3 linked regions of the Drosophila melanogaster genome follow. The protein of the gene in region 3 interacts with the protein of the main gene of each other region in a pairwise test. Each region holds a gene or a part of one and is shown on either strand. Other genes may lie near its edges.

The links.
Region 1: the proteins of fok (region 3) and CG14079 interact in a two-hybrid assay, tested with the Drosophila melanogaster proteins (one large-scale study listed by BioGRID).
Region 2: the proteins of fok (region 3) and CG4116 interact in a two-hybrid assay, tested with the Drosophila melanogaster proteins (one large-scale study listed by BioGRID).

The regions. Positions count from the first base shown.
Region 1 is NT_037436.4:19,095,592-19,099,564, forward strand, and holds CG14079 (uncharacterized protein), read left to right. Parts: upstream 1-2,407; 5' UTR 2,408-2,571; coding exon 2,572-2,619; intron 2,620-2,677; coding exon 2,678-3,439; 3' UTR 3,440-3,473; downstream 3,474-3,973. Other genes in the region: CNPYb (canopy b), read right to left, coding at 1-551; Naxd (NAD(P)HX dehydratase), read right to left, coding at 1,061-1,636, 1,715-2,041; Gem2 (gemin 2), read right to left, coding at 3,890-3,973.
Region 2 is NC_004354.4:3,066,115-3,069,816, reverse strand, and holds CG4116 (uncharacterized protein), read left to right. Parts: upstream 1-2,254; coding exon 2,255-3,049; 3' UTR 3,050-3,202; downstream 3,203-3,702.
Region 3 is NT_033779.5:20,078,609-20,088,404, reverse strand, and holds fok (fledgling of Klp38B), read left to right. Parts: upstream 1-3,334; 5' UTR 3,335-3,670; coding exon 3,671-3,827; intron 3,828-5,389; coding exon 5,390-5,622; 3' UTR 5,623-6,799; downstream 6,800-9,796. Other genes in the region: neb (nebbish), read right to left, coding at 1-758.

The DNA of each region.
Region 1 (3,973 bases), on a different chromosome or scaffold from region 3:
TCGCAGAGATGCTTCTTCAGTGACTTCTCATCCTGGTGCTTAAAGTACCATTCGCTGATGGTTTCCTCGTACTCCTCCAGTAGGTTTTCGCACTGGGTCTTCATTTGGGTGACCTCCACCGGGGGCTTGTCCCACAGCTCGTAGGGTATTCCCAGATCCACCTTGACGCCCTTGTCCACAAGGCCATGGAGCGTCTGGAAGGTCTGGGACATACCTTTGGCGAATCTCGTGCTGTCAGAGCGTTCCTTGTGCAGATTGTACTCCAACACTCGCTCGCACACGTTCTCCAGGGACTCGAGCAGTCGCAGTTCGCTGCGCCGGTATTCAGTGCGCTTCTTGGGCTTCACATCGTCAACGGAGTATCCGATTTCGATGACGTCGTGCGACTTGCCGGTCTCTCCAAGTCGAGCTTCCAATTCGGTGGCCAGGATTTTGCAGGCTTCGCAGCGGTTTGCGTAGCGAACGCCTTGCTCCTCCTCGGGCGAATCAGCTCCGGCTAACTGCAGGACGACCCAGAGTGTTACAAAGCCAGGCAGTCTTTTGAGGAGCATTTTCACTGCTTGATAAATTCCAAAAAAACAATAATAAACCTGACGTGGAAATGCCGCTCGCGAGAAGACCAGTGCTGCAAAACACCAACAACCGAACGGAACCGACGACTTAGCTTTTTCCCGCCAATACCTTTAAAATAATCTATATCAAATCTATTTTCTTTTTTATGATTTATTATCCTACATACATTTAAAAAAAACTTTTATTTTATTTTATTTGTTTATTAAAACAGAAGTCATGCTTAAACGGTTTATTAAAATTGAATCAATATGGTTTTATTATGAATGCCGAAACATTTTATCTGTAACAAGATGCAGCTTTCAAATTAACGAACCAGATGTTCTTACGTTGTTTAAATGCAATTAAAAAATTCCCATAACATTTCTATCCATTCCAATATGTTCTCTGTTAAAGACATTAAAAATCCCACGATAATTGAAAATTCGGTTAATGGTCGCCTTGTTTTAAAAAACAAACAGCTGGAATTAGTTCAAAGTCCAGTAAATGACTATTGAGGATCGCTGTTTTCGAACTCGGTCTGAAATACGCTGGGTATTTGATTGACCATGTCACTGGCCAGTAGGCTGCGGCCAAACTTTTGAAATGCAGCCGCGTTTAACTTTTTCACAAAGTAACTAGAGGCACATGCAGCTACCAGGGCGGGATTGGGTTCACCCGACTGCAGTGACCACGAGAAGAAGGTGGCCAAAGATCCGGAGAGCAGGTCACCTTGTCCACCGCACCTGCGACCGGAACCGCCGCTAGGCATTGAGTGAACTTCGTTGCAGTGAGGGAGATAGATCTTGTCGTTGGCGCCCTTCTCCAGGACAGTTACTCCGGCTCCCAGGAGGGACATTTTCTGGCGCGCCGCCTGGTCATCCTCGCCAAACAGTCTCTGGAACTCCATGACATTTGGCGTGAGTATGACATTCGGCTGTCCACAGATCAGATTCAGATTGTCGTTGAGCAGAAACAGTCCATCGGCGTCTATGACAACTGGTTTCTTGGTGTCCATGCACAGCTTGAGTACGTTGGATGCCGTCTTCAGGATGCCCGGCTCCCGACCCAGTCCAGGTCCAATAACCTTAACGATTCTAAATTTAGCATTTAATTGTATAAATGTAGCATATACGTATGTAGGTGGGGGGGGGGGGCTACTCACAACGACGTGAAGTCGCTCTAACCAGGGCGCTATTCTCTCCACTGCATCCACACAGTCTAGCACTGGATGCACGATAAGATCGGGACTGTAGGACTTGATAATGGCCGACGCATTTGAATGGCAGAACACATGCGCCAGGTCAGCGCCCACTCTTATCGAGGAAATGGCCGCGAAGTACGGCGCTCCGGTGTACTCCAGGGACCCACCGATCACTCCAATGCGTCCGTACTGTCCCTTGTGCTTGTTGTTCACCAGCTTGGGCACCACCGTCTTGAACAGAGCCAGCAGCTTGGGCAGGTGCACTGGAATATCCGAAACTGCAGCCATCTCTACCGGCGGCAATGGTTTTCTTTGTGGACTGTGCCCGCTGTTTACTATTGCTGTGACTAGTGATGCACATTGTGGTCGGGATTTCCTATCGGTTGCTGCTATCACTGTGAGAAATACTTTGTTCCCACGGAAGCCGTATTATCAGTAGTTAAAGCTATAGAAAATGAAAACATGGAAAAATGTGAGTTAGCTAATTATTCTAAAATAGATTTTTTTTAGTATTTTACTATCATATTTTTGTATTATTTCTTAATTAATTCAAAAACTATTCAATTCTTTAAGTACTCTTCACATTGTATAGTTACACTATACATTCTATACACATCACTTTCAACTCTTTTGCTTATCAATCAAAATTCCCTGCGTTATCGACCAGTAATCGACTTTGAAATTCACTTTCAACCGCTGCCCCGGCAACCAGTGGGCTCCAAAACAAAGAACCATGCGCTTTCGCCCCCCAATTCTCGATTCCCGCCCCAAGCAGTTGGCTATTTTCCGGCAGACTTTCACTTAGGATCAGGCAGCAAATGTCCCACAAGAGATTCTACGTAAAGTTAGATCTGCAGCTCCATGCGGTTTGTGGCTATGTCGATTGAAGTGTACCTGTGACATCAAGGCTCCTTCCATTTTCAGCTCACTTGTCCCGGTGTTTGGCTTTGTTCACACGGATATTTGGAGGCCACCATCAAGACCTTGGGCTACTACTTTCGAACTGGACCCATGGAGCCTCGCTTTCCGATGCTGTGCCACGATCAGTTCACGATGGAGGGATACTTCAAGAGCGTGGGCTGCCTGGAGGAGATGCACGAGCTACTGAAAGCTGAACAGCTGGAGATAACCGTCTGGCAGAATGGCCGAAGGTTGGCCTACTTCGTGGGCAGTCTTTCGGATGTGATGCAACCCACTTTTCCGCGCCTGAGCTGTGCCCACAGCTCCAATGTTCAGCTGTTGATGAAGGCGACGCCTGCTTTTCCGGGTATCCTGGCGCCCAAGGTGGAGCTATCTGCGCAGTTGACCACGCAGGATCGGAAAAAGGTGTGCAGCTGCTCCAGTTCCAGGGAGTACTCTGCTCCTCCTGTCAATCGCCACGTTGAGAGCCGTTGCCTGGGCCATTTGGATCAGCCTCGAAAGCAGCAAACCGTGTGTCATGGGAGGCAATCCAATTGTTGTCCAAGTGGCAGTTACGCCGCTTGGAGAGCTGGCTCTCCTGCCCAACAGAAACAGCAGGAACGGCGATTGTCCTCCTGCTCCAGCACAACGCAATTAAGTAGCCTTAGCCAGAGTTCCTCGCTGACGCAGTGCAGCCACTTGTCCAGCTGTAGTTCTCCTTTGGATGAGCATCACAACAGCTGCGATATATGCCAGGCCTACAGGCGCATGTTTCCTTCTTACTGAATAAATTAGCAAAATTATTTGTGTCTTATGTTTTAAGAAAACCTTTGGTGTTAAAAGACTTATGTTGCAACCCGGAAAACAATGGATATTTTCAATAAATGGTCACATTTCAGTACATTTTCCAGAAATAATTGACTTGTGTACATGGGTTAAATGGGTAACTTCTTCATTCAAATTAAGATATTATCATTACTTTTATATTTAAACTTTTATGTTTTACGATCTAATTTTTAGGTTCATTAACAATATGTTGTCTCTTGATTGATATGCATAAATAAATCTGTTTTCTAACCAAAAGAATATAATTCAGCCACAGAAAACTATAAAAATAGTATCTAAACGTAGAGTAATTATATAAACAAAATTACCAGCGTAGCTTTTGGCTTTTTAGTTAACAAAATAGTCGAATTTGCGCTTAAATTAGTGGTTTCTAAACTGGGAATATGATACCTATATGTAATCCTTGAAATCATTCTGTGCGAAAACCTGAACGGTGAGCGTTAGTAGTAGGTTGTAGGGAGCTGCCCGTTGCAC
Region 2 (3,702 bases), on a different chromosome or scaffold from region 3:
TCCAAGCCACTAAGTACACCTACCTCCACTATCCACCCCCCCCTCCCCCCTCCCCAACGTACTTCATCATTCATTTGCAATTTCCATTAAAATGTCATTGAAATTTCACTTACAAAAATTTCCCTTCAAAAACCAAACCGAAGTGGAGCAAAAATAAAAATTGAGTAGACGAAAGAACGGAACTGAGTTTTGTATTGTGGTAGAGAATGAAATCTGGGTAAAAGCGGGAATTGGAGTTGGTTTGGGGAAAACTTTAGCTGGCAATTCTATTGCCAAACGCATTTTGCACTTCAATTGCACGTGCAAATGAAAATGGAAGGGGTGGGCTATTGGTGTGTTGGTGTGTTGCTGGAAAAGTCTGCGAAAAACTGAAAAATTCAAGCCTGTTAATATGCGTAAGTGTGTGGGGCAGGTGGGTGTTGGCTGTTGGATGTCGGATGTTGTGTGGTGGGTTGTGGGTGGTGGTTTGGCAAGTGGGTGGAATCTCCTGCGAGGAGTCCTGGCGTGAAGTTGTCGCTTTATTTTTCTTCTCGGGCTTCTGGTGCTGTCATTGATATGGCATTTTCCCCAACCACCCAAAAGTACCTCTGAGTACCTCCCAACCTCCATCCCATTTTTAGCCTCACCTTCTTTCGTTGTCGTTTTGTCGTCGCCTGTTGTTAATTGTCATTGCGTCGCTTTAAGCCGCTCAGTGGCAGGAAAATGGGAAATGGAAGCCTCACCTTGCGTGTGGGGTGGGGAAAATCGAGAGGTGGTGCCGGATAAAGTGAATCAAGAGGAAGGCCAAGGAGCAGGAAAGACTATCGGACATACTCTTGCCTTGCCGAATGTCACTGCAAATCGTTGAGCAAATTGACAGCTTTTAAGTTGACAAACAAATTATTAAGTATGATCATATTCAATATATTTATTTTCTATACGTTAGTATATATATGATATTACCAGTTCTATTTGAATGCACATCACTATAATACTATCTACTAATATTAGCTTTGAAACTAGTTTAGCCTGCGCATTATAATTCGTGTGGATAGTCCGGTTTAAAGATGATTTTAGGAGCATATGCTTCCCTTCGGTGTGGATGGATAGTTTCTCCCTTAGCCGTTGTTGTTATTGCCACTGTTGCTGTTTTCACGCGCGGTTAGCGCCTGTAATTGCATTGCCAAGTAAAGGACGAACCGCGAACAGTGAGCGACATTCGTATGTGTCTCTACGTTCGTGTGGCGCTCCATGTGTGCGCTGCACTGGCAGAAAACAATTGGTGGTTCTTAAAAGCGGAATTTGGGACATACTATCATCATATATCGCTACAATTACAAAAATATATGCTTAACATGGCTGCCCCTTTCTTTGTTTTTTCTTAGTTTAAGAGCAATCCTTTGTGTTTTTGGCCAGTGTAGTTTTGGTGCGTGTGTGTGAGCGTTGGCGTAAGTGAAATTTATTTCAACAGCCCCCGCCAGGCATTCAGCCCCAAAACTGTCGGTTGGCCAACTTAGGCGAAAAATTGAGAAGCAAGGCACCACCAGCAAGGCAGCATCGCATCAACGGCAAATGAAATGAGGCTGGCAAAAAGGGGGATTCCGGGGGTTAAATGCGCCCCAATAGGGGGCGCCATCTGCGGCACACTGGCGCCAAAGTGATGGAAACCATTCCGAATGCACAATCTCACAGCGGTTGATCCAAAAAAAAAAAAAAAAAGGAGTGAATGAAAATATGCAATTCTCAGAGAGAGAGAGAAAGCGTTAAGTGGGTGCATAAAGGGGCAACAGCGGTTTATGGGTTCAACTTTGTATCGTGCAGAGTATTTGCTCGGCTATAGAGCAGTATTCCGTTGCTAATAGAACCCTTAAAAGGTACAAAAACCAATATACGATTTGGATTTCAAATTCCCATTTATATTATTACCCACTGTGCCCGAAAAAACCCCCAACTGAAGCTGCAAGCAGACGTGTTTCTGTTGCTGATTTTAAATTTTAATTAAAGTGTGGCTCCTTGGTTTTTGGTTTTGGTTTTTGGCTTTGGTTTTGCTTTTCGGTTTCGGCTGCGACCACTTGAGGTTCACGATCCGCGGCAAAGCAAACAATGGCCTACAAGTAGGGGCACTTCTTGACACGCTCTTGCCACTTGAAAAGTCCAACTATTTGGCCTCGGGGCCAGCAAAAATGGTGCGAGAAGAATGAAGAAAGGCTTTCTAAAACCTATAACCTATATATATTGGCAAGCAAAATTCCGGGCATCATGGCATCCATGACCGATGAAAGTCGATTTCCGTCAACTCATGTTGGGCTATAAAAGTGCCAAAGATCTGCCCAATGGCACACACAGTTCGATGGTCCATCGTCCAGAAATGATCTACGCAATTCTAGTGCTCTGTCTGCTGGGCAGTTGTTGCCCAGCAATGGCCCAGAAGGTCGAAAAGGATCCGCTGGCCAAGGAACAAAATACCCGTTTGGCCGGCATCTATGTGAAGGATGGCAACGAAAATGGCCAGCTGAGATTCCTGGCATCGGGCTTGAACAGTGGCAGCAGCAGCACCAGCTCTTCAAACACCGGTATCAACTCGGCCCTGAATCAGTACATAACCAATAAGCAGGATATGCTGGAGCAACTGCGTCCCACTTCGGGCACCACATCAACGGGAACGGGAGCTGTTACGGGCACATCGACGGGAACAACAGGAACGACTTCGGGAACCGGAACTGGCCTGGTCACCACGACTTCCAATGGAGCTATCTATGTGAACCTGGGCAGTTCGGGATCCTCATCATCATCGTCTTCCTCCTCGTCGGCCACCAATGCGGCCATTAATCAGGTCATCTATGGATCCTCGCCAGTTGCCGGTCTCTTGCCGCAGATCGTTGGCCAGGCGGTGTCCAGTCGAGTGCGTCCCGGTGGCCAGAACAATAGGAGGCGCGTTCCCGCCCGTAGGCGCCGGGTCAACAAGAGGCGTGGCAGCATTAACAACAACAATCAGCGACGTCGCCGGCGTGGCAACAAGCGGGGCAAGAATAAGGCCCAGGTGATGGTGGTGCGACCAAATCGCGGTTGAGAAGAGGATCCACCGCCTTTCTTAGTTAAGCGAAAAATTACTTTTTTTTTGCCCCCCAGCCAAGGAATTTTTTTTTTTTTAATGATTACTATTAGTATGCGAGAAGGCAACCTTATTTATTTATTTAAATGATTGAAAGCAATTACACTCTGCAACCAAGGTGGTTTTATTCGAGGTCATTATGGCAAAGGCGTGAAATGGATAATTAAATTTTAGCTTTGGTATAACATGCATATTTCATGGACATCATTGCTCTCACCTTGTGTATGTTTTCCAATCGACCAAATTTGCGATTGCAAAGCCTCAAATTTGTGTAGGCCAGTGGATTTGGCGTAGTTGCACTAATTTATGGGCCAACTGGTGTTCATGTTCAAAGGGCCGCCAGTCGGTGTGTCTGCGAGGTGCGCTGGCCCGTTTAGAACCCCCTTGGTGAGCCCCTGGTCAAGTGCAAGACAAACGGTCTCCGGTCGGCTCTGCATGCGGCGGTCAATGTCTTGATAAATGTCTGCAGGATGGCGCCCGGGGAGTGGCGCCCGTTGCTCCTCGTCCTGGTCAGCAGGACGACCCCTCGTGCGGCGCCGCTGTTCCATTTCGCGAACCTCTAAATCACCGTCACGTGTCCGGGCTGTGTATTATGTGCTCATGACTGTAAT
Region 3 (9,796 bases):
GAGCCACCTATGACGAGACGGTCGCCATGAAACAGCTGGCGACGATCCTTCAGTAGTTCTCCGTTCACGTAGGTCTCGAAGTCCTCGCTGCCGGGGATGACATACAACTTGCCACCACGTTCATGCTCGATGCTGCAGTGCTGCAAGGCCACCAGTGGACCATCCAGTACAATATCAGGCTGCGAACTAGAACTCCCTCCTGGCAGACGACCTCGTCCTATCCGCACTAGTCCTTGGGGCAACAGATAGAACAGGGTGCCACTTAGTATGGGATCCGCTGTTAAATTAACCAGACAGGCCTGCTTCTGCTCAGCAGTTAGTTCCAGAGCCAATCCCCGGCGTTTCAGGACACGAAGTTCCGATTTGCGCTGATCCTCCGCCTCCTTGAGCTTCTCCATCCATGACTTTTGCGCTCGACTCAGCTCCCTTTCCCGTTCTGCCAGCTGCTGACGCAGTGCCTCCACCTCGGTCTCGTCCACGGAGGTTTCAATGATGATCTTACGTGGCACGGGATTGTTACTATTGCCGGACAAGCGCCGCTGGCGCTCGTACTCGTTCCTCAGCGACTTCAGGCGATCCACCTCGGCGCGCAGATCCCGTATGATCTTGTCGTGGGGGGATTCGTTTACCTTCACCCGGTTGACGATGGAACGCGCCTTGCAGGCGTAACGCAAAGTGGCTAGGGTCTCATCCGCATGGATGCTGGCCGGTGAAATGGTGGCCAACATGACCGTCTTCGAGTTCCCGCCGAGGTTTTCCTGGAATGAAGGAACAACGTCAGTTATATTAAAAGCTCTGTGATGCATCTTTGGATTGGGTGAGTAATTGTATTGTTTTGATGTTAATATCTGGGGTAAATCAAGTTATTTATTATTGGCAGGGTCAATATGGCAAATGGCTGTGGTATACAACGTGTAGCTTGGCTTTCTCACATTCATAACAATATTTTTTAACACCTTTTAAAATGAAATAAATCACAAACAAGGGCATGTGAATCAGTAACAGTAGTATAAACCTAAATATAATTTTTATATGCATTTTATTTTATTTTAATCTAGCACGTAAAACCGAAACAACATTTCATTGATGAATAAATCAGGCATTTTGAATGCACTACTTTTAGTAGCTTATAGAGTCGGCTGAATATCTTTTAAGGAACAACATAAACCGATATATATAATCCTAATGGTTCCTGTATGGAATTGTTATTGGAAATGGTCCATTTAATCTCAATGTGATAATAATGATTTAATGGACTGAAGAAAATAAAACAGAAATCCCAATAAACATATTTTCCAATCAATTAAAGAACTGGATGGGCACCCAAGTTGATAAGGAAAGTGGTTTTTCACACCAACCCTATATGCATACATATGTGGCAAAAAGGAATATACCCCACTATGCAAGAGGTACGATGATTATCGATCATCGGTGAACACTATAATGCACTCGAAAGCACTCAGAACAGATGTGTGAAAATTTCAAGGAATGGAAAATTGACAATCTAAACCTTCGAGTGTGTGCTTCGATTGTGGACTCGGTGCGATAAGGAGGGACGAAATGATAAGACAACGCCCAACTGTTTGCGTAAAGCTACCGTGACAAAGGCACCTACTGATGGTCGTTATCAGCAACCGCTGTGCGGGAATCGAAAAGTTGTTGTGCAAACAAAATGCATCCACATGCAAGTACACGGAAGAAATAGGCTCAGAAATAAAACTCACTAATTGGTGCATCGCAGTGCTTTCAAAATGTTGGTTACATATTCGTTTAGTAAGATATTTGTTTACCTAATTACAAATGCATTGGCCATCCGTTGCATTTTTATCTGATAGTTTTTTTTTTTTTGTAGTGTAGTGTATGCATACGTATGTATATATGTATGTATTCAAATAAAGCTTCGTATTAGCTAGTTAGCACACATTCTTGGCAGTGTGCGTAAGTGACACTTGTTTGATTAAGCAGGTCAGCACCGTGGGCCAAACAAGAGCGGGCACCGAAAAGAGGATGGTTGATTACACAAACTGCGCAGCAGCAGCGGCGTAGGCGTGCACAGTGGTCGCAAGTGCAGAAATATGCCTTGAAAAACAGCTACCATAGGTGACCTTAGGGGCCCGTCAGTGTCGTCTGGTCAGAATCTGGGTCCGTGGTCCGTTAACCGCAAATTAATACAATTAATGGCGACACTCTCTGTTAGTCATTCACGTACCAAAGCGTACCACATTAAAAAAAATCTTTTTTCCTAAATATAGCCCTCTACGTCCTCCCACCTTTAGAAATCAGTCACGATCTCCTCAAAAGTAACTGAAATGAGCGTGCACCAAAACATAAACCGCAGGAAGGCGCTAATATAGGCGGTATGCTTTTTGAGCCAAAACAGCAAAACCTTGATCGGAACCGGCTAAAATGACGTAGACTGCCAATTAACACTAGATTTAAACAAATTTTTCAAATGTTCAAAAACCTCTAGGCAAAGTAGTGAAAAAGTGCAGCTGGTGGTTTACACGCCTAGAATGCCACACGCTGGAAATACAGTCCATTTTGACCATGGAAAGTTTATAAAAAAAAAGAACACTCCAATTTGGGCTCTCAAAAGTGTTCAATCCGCTTGGCAACCAAATTTGGTTTCAGAAATAAGGCTAAATCACGGCATGGTCGGCCTGCAGTCTAGACCGTGATTAGCGCAGCTTATAAAAACACAAATGTCCATCCCATCCTCCAGATGATCAGCCGTCGAACATCCGTCCGATCACTCTCATGATTACTTTTTCGTCATCTCCGCGGCATTAGCGATTCGCCGCTAATAAGAAAAACTTCCAAGAGTATTCCTCATGCCCCGGCTAATTAATATTTATTAAAAATTTTCAAACTAACACAGGGTGAATCACTTGGAAAATGCTTGCTTCCACGGCAGAGGTGATTTCGAGAGTAGCGAACCAATGTGCCCCAAGCGAGAGGTGTGTGGCACTCGAAAGGGGAGGGGTCGGGTGGAAGGTGAAACTCTGACAAAAGCACGAGACGCGAAAACACAACAAAACACAATGCCACACATACGTGTTTACAACCAGGCACACAAATATTTTAGTACAAGTGCGGGCAGCATAGTATATACACCTATTCCAAGTACTACAGACATTAAAGAATATTTAAAACAAATTAAAGTCCATTCATTCATATACACGTGCCCTAAACGTTTTCCCGCGACTGTCCACACACATTCACACGTAGGCACATGAGAAGTAAATATAGGGGAGACCCGAAGTGGGCAGCAAAACAAGAGCCGAAGTATCGCCAGCGCACGAGAGCTACAAAAATGCAGTAATTCTAGTGTTCGGCTTTCAGTTTCACGAGAGACCTCCAACAGAATACATCGAATTTCGGCGAGAGATTTGCAGCTCAAGAAGAAGAAAGAAGGAAAACCTCTGCGAGTCACCTCCACGCAAAAGTGCACCAAAAAGCGTTGTTAAAAAAACAAAACAAAGTGATTTTAAAAGCCAGGTTCATTGGACGCCCGAGCCAATCGAGAGACAAAGTGAAACGACCTCGCACAACGCGCGCAAAAAGAGAGAAAGAAAGAAAAACACACACCCACATTACAAACACAATTCACATCCCGTTGATTGGCACTGCAGTTCGCAAAAATAGTAACGAAACACCGCACAGCACAGACATGGATGTTTGGGGATTCTGCGTCAGCGACACCACAATGGCATATGGCGGGTCCATGCGCAGCGGCTACTACCGCGACTACGAGGAGTTCCCCTATGGTACCCTGGAGTCCACCACTTCCTCACACGCGGTCAAGGACTGCTACAGTCGAGTGCAAGGTAATTTTTGGCGAAAAAACAGATAGCGCTCAGAATGCACTGGCAAAAAAGGGGCGAGATTGAAAGCAGACGCGTTTCTCACTTGTTTTTGTGTATTGCGTGTGTTGTTTTGTTGTTTTTGCAACCATTTATAAATAGCCAGCCTGATTTCTTAGCCCCATGTGCATAAGTGTGTGTGTGCGTGTGTGTGTGTGTAGAACACGCCTTAATTTTTGCGCACAAGCACAGGGTGTCCAAAGTTTCGCGGCGCAAGTCACCTTATCAAGTAGGTTCCACACCCCCTCGATTTTGTTTTTATTTACGGCTTGAATCCACGTGCTAAAGATATTCGCGCTTAATTGCACACACAAAGCGGCTAAAAGCCCACAAGGTTCCTTACGAATTTCCGGCATTCCAAAGTTAAAGCGCAATTCAGATGGGCATACAAAAAGAGTATATCGTTACTTTGTCACTCGTGGAAAATCATAAAAGGCAAAGATATACTTTTTGTGGCAATTTCAGAGGTGGTTAAACCCGCTCTTATCGAGGTCACTACTCAAGTCCATTAAGACACACTCTGCACTCGAATACTTTACGATTATTAATTACACAGACAACTAAGCAAGCACTAAGACTTGGCTGTACCTCCAGAATCGGCTCTCAAAAGTTAAGCAGGTGGTCGCACAATGGATTCTTTTATAGGGAAGAACAAACAAAGCAGGGTTTCATTGTGTTTGAGTGCCAAAACTGAAGCGCAATAACGAAACTGAGGTGTGTAAATGTTAAACCTTCGTGCTGTTTTCGTCCATATAGTATACATATACGCGTAGTGCATTATCGGGTTGCAGAGAAATAAAAAAAAAACAAGTGAAAAATTATGCAAGGCAAATATCTAGCTTACTTTAAACTTTAGATTCACATGTCTGTACATACACAACTCAATTCGTATTTGAATGGTAGCATGCATATGTGTGTAAATATCCAGTTTATAAAGCACTTTTTTCCCCCAGTGTGGAACACATTTAGAGATTATGCAAGGTCGCTTATCGGCGGCTATAAATAGACTTTCCTCATGGATCGGCTGGGCTTTAATCAATAATAACCGTTTAGCTTTTAACACGGTCAATTGAGCAATCAAAGCAATGGTTTAATTAACGGAGGCAGGTCACAAAAGCACACAAGCTGTAAGTACAGTTGTGCTCAATGTAGTAGTTGTGTTACAGTCGTCGAAAGACAACAATGTTTTCATTAAAACCAAAGATTAGATAGATTCAACTTTTTAAAATAGGTTTCTAAAATCCAGTGCATGATAATATTAAATATATAGCTGCCTCCGTCACAGGGTCACACGTCGAGTAGCGGGAAAAATTGTGCGAGCGTGGGGAGGGGCGCCATCGGTGGCGACGTGACGTCGTGAACGTAGACGCAGCGACGTCACGTAGTCAAATCAGCTGTTCGACGGCCCAGAAGGGCACGTAGGCTAAAAGGCAGAGTGGAAGCGAATGCGGGAAACAACAGACGAGGGTGAACATTCAGTGCCGACCTTCACTAACCGGTGACCTATCACATTGCTCCCATTGCAGAAAAGTGCAAGCAGATAAAGTCCGAGAAGCAGATGCGCAAGGACTGCCCATTCTGCAAGGAGCACAAGAAGCGGCCGCTCATCAACTACATGCGCAAGCGGGAGCAAAGGAAGCACCATGACAGCATCTGCGAGGACGAGGAGGACATGCACGAGCACGAGCATGAGCTGGAGCACACCCACAATCACAGCCAGTCGACCGTCCTTGCCGCCCCGCAAAGCTGCAAGGTGTGAGTGGGAGCGAGACGAATCTACTGCGGACGGTGCCCGCAGCATTCGCGAAATGCCATATATGTATACAGATGTGTAACCTAACCCAGAAGAAAGGAAACCTGAAAGAGTAAGAACAAAAACAAAAACAAAGAAAACCCGAGGAGAAAAGAGAAAAAGCTGTCGAAGACGAAGATTGCGCGAGAGAGCGAGACAGCAGCCTGCAGCTACAATAATCTAAGGCAACTGTACCCCTATTTTTTTTAAAATGGTTGCCCAGCATTTCCGCGTTGCGAATACACTACCATTTACAAAAGCCAGAACCACTTGATACCAATTTACAACTACCTTTTTCATTATCTAGCCCTTCGTTTTTACACCAACTTCGCAGTTATGTACAACTACAAACGGCACTTTGTTTACCGACAAACAATAGCGCACGACGAAAAAATCAAGTAACGAAAACCTGCCCCGCTTGACCAACGCATTTTTTGACCTTAGGCAAAAAAAAAAAAAAAAAATTATATATGTAACACAAGGGAAGCAAAAACTGAATTTTCTATTTTGCATACGAGACTGAGTAAATTGCAGTAGAAAATTTTTAAGCGAAATTTTTGTTATTTTCGTTGCTTTAGTTTGGACCCAATTGGATCAGTTACAGGTATTACCATATAAGAAAGAAATAATGAAAACTATAACGATCAATCAAGGTTTTGCAACTGTTATTTTCTCGATATATGCGTAGTACATACTTTGGACCCCGATTTTTATTGTATCCTTGTCTATATTAGACATTCCCCTATATTTATTGTAATACCAACTGAGCGTTGCACAGTCCGAGCAAGTGTCAAAATGAAATCAAATCGAAATATGTATGTAAAAGTTGAAATTGTTCAAAAGTTTATGCCTGGTTACATTTTGTTAACTCAACTTGTCGTTACAGAACAGAAATTGTTATTAATTTTTGGTGTTCAGACTCAGCTGTGCAAAAAGACGGACGGAAATATTATAAAAACGATTTAACAATTGCATTAGTCATTTAAGTAATTGATCAAAATGTAATGATTTGTGTAAAATTTGCTTGCAGGTTCCAAGAAAATTTTCAATTTATACAATGTTATATATCATATATATTATATATTAATGGTTAGTTTAAATTATATGTAAACCGAATAAAACGACAAATGATTGAAAAATTTAAGTTAAAATGCGTACTTGTATCTTGAGGGTTACTTGAGGAAATTACGATTAAAAGAAAGGAGATATCATTCATAGTTGCTACGATTTCTAAAAGTTAGACACCTGTTCCAATTACATACGTTGAGGTGGGTCAGTTTGGACTTAAATTTTCCAAATAAAAGTCTTAATTTCTTATGCAAATCTTTACGGAAATCTTTCCGTCTCGCACCAGTTTACTAATTGAAGTTAATCTGTCTTTTGTCTGTCTGAACTCAAAATGTTCCGCCGCTTGAAAACGTTAAATATGATAAGTAAGTACTTGATGGCTAAGGTCAGGTTTTAGGCACTAAACTGGGAACTAAGCGAAAGCACCTCGAGCCCCAATAAACCGACCTGGAACTTGACCATGCACTATCCCACCTTGCAAGCGAATGTCCAGGGATGCCAGCTCCCAAGTGATCCAAATGAAACCCCAGTCAACTAAGCCGAATTGAATTAGAGCAACGAACGTTTGGCACGGGTAGATGAGATCATCCGTGCCTTAATCATGAAAGGCGAATCAAAAAAATTCAACTGATCAAACTGAGAACTGAGCGCATCCCCCCACACGAAAACCATTCATTCCATTTGCATATTTTTTCATGAGTGTGCAAAAGGGTATATGTGCAATGGGGCGACGGGGAAAGCGATGTTCGAGAGAAACAACTCGCGGGGAGGAAGCCATATACATATTCAGTTGTTTGTGCATCGAATTCGACTCATTTTATATTCCAATGCTAACCACTTGGTTGGGGCTAAATATATTATTAAACAGTGTGGCTTAAATTACAATTGTTGTTATGCGGGAAACTGGAACGGAGAGCACACGTTCGAAGCATTTTGTTATGCCAACGTGGGTCAGAGATACAAACTTTTGAATTTATAACTACTATACTATACTATACTATTTATAACTACTACTATTTACATTATTGAATGGCTCAGTTAGTCGAAATCTTGTGAATAATTAATCTGGTTACTACTCGTATGTCAAATTTTTTCAGTTCACATAATTAGCATTCATTTGTGAACTGAAAACGTGGCTTATTTGAAAATTCATAACGGCGACAGACAACTCGCCTGTTGCTAATTACGAAAATAATTAACTGACGTATCCTCAGTGGCACGCTTTTCGTATTAGACACGTATTAGAAACAGCAGATCAATCGAATTTGAAATCGTGTGAACCTACGTCATTTGCATTCAATTCGATGTTTCTGGATTTCATTCAAAATCCCACATTCCCTGGCTATCTAAACGGTGTTTGTGGCTTTCCAAATCCAACTCGGAAAATGCTGATTGTGAACTCAGTGCGGTTTCTAGGGCTTTGCACACGAGCAAGTTAATTTGGAATTTATTTAGAAAGCTGGCTTGGGACTCCGCATTTCCAGTTCCAAAGTTCCCCCAGTCATGTGAAGGTCGCAACGAGTTCTCAAAACTAATAAAAATTGAGAAAAAACTATAGTTTAATGAATAAAAAAGGACTTATTTCTTGGAGAACAGAATATATCCCTTTGCATTTCAAAAAATGCTGAACCGCTTGTTACAAAAACTGAAAAGTTCCAGAGGAGTCAAGTCGCAAGGTGAACTTAATAGCTAGGCCATGGTATTTAAAGTGAAATACTTACATCAAAATATGTCAACTATTCTAATTACCTATCAAAAATTGAATTATTCTTTTACAAAACCTAGCCGTAGTGCAAAACCATTTTCATATAAGTGGACTGTTATTAAGCCAGTTAAATAACAGTATTAACAGTATTCTTTTTTTGTTTCGAATAATGAGCTTTTTGGATAATGAACTTAAATATGACTTTAAATTGACGAGTCTGTGCTAATAAACAAAACGGACTGCAAATGTCAAATCACAACTAATGTTAAAAATTAAAGTTATAAAACACCAACCAATTTTGATTATAAAGCATCTCCCATTACTTACATTGTACCCAAATCCTGGTTAACTTTAGATTTTACTTGGCCTAAACATATTTGCTAATTGTAACATACTCTGCCATCAATTACCTTTATTGGCTTGTATACACTTCGTAAACGTTTAGTTACCATCCTAACTATCTGTATATAAATTATTCATTTTGTGTACAAATTGTTATTGCAGCTCTTAAGGATGGAAAAAAGCTGAGCAAGGGCAATTGCAAATGCGAGCCTTCAGCGTGTAAATGTGGAAAACGTCAACAACGACAGCAACAATTGAAATTGTTGGTGTCGCAACTTAGGAGACGCGATAACGTATCAAGTGTTATAATGTTTTAGTGCCGAAGTACCGCACAAAAATACCAAATAAAGCATTATCTGCAAAGTATTTTTAAATCTATGGGGTGGCAAGTGAAGATGTAGATGGAACTTTTGTGTCGTATGCAAAGATAGGAAAAGTACTTCACGGATAGATAGGAACCATGGAAGCCCAAAAATATCAGAGGCAAAAAACAAGGTCGGCTGATATATAAAAAAAAAACACAACAAAACCCCCCTCCTTTTAAAGGGGTGAAAACAACTAGTAACAATCAACATACAAACCCTAAATCTAAACCATCTAAATCTTTCAATGATTTTAAAGATGGATTGGGCAACCACAATCTGGTGCGTTTCGTCACTACGCTGGCTGCGAGAGTCCCCTACGGACCTACGACGCCATTCCAAGAAATATTTGTCTTCACCTTTTATGGCAAAGGCCGCGTACGGAAATAAATCATGTGAGCCATTTTATGGGCCGTACTACCGTAACGAAAAGCAAAGTGGACACTGGACACTAAATAACACTCAGTGGAACGGGTTTCGGGAAAAAAGACAAGTGTTTGGACTTTCGATCAAGAGCCTCTCACTTGTGGGCGCCATGTAATTACTCATTGAATGCAGTCGAATGATTATAAATTACGTCGCAAATGTCGAGTGCGCCTTTTTTTAGAAGCCAGATACTTGTATTATATAAAACCCTCACTTTCGGATTAACTAGCCTGGTAAT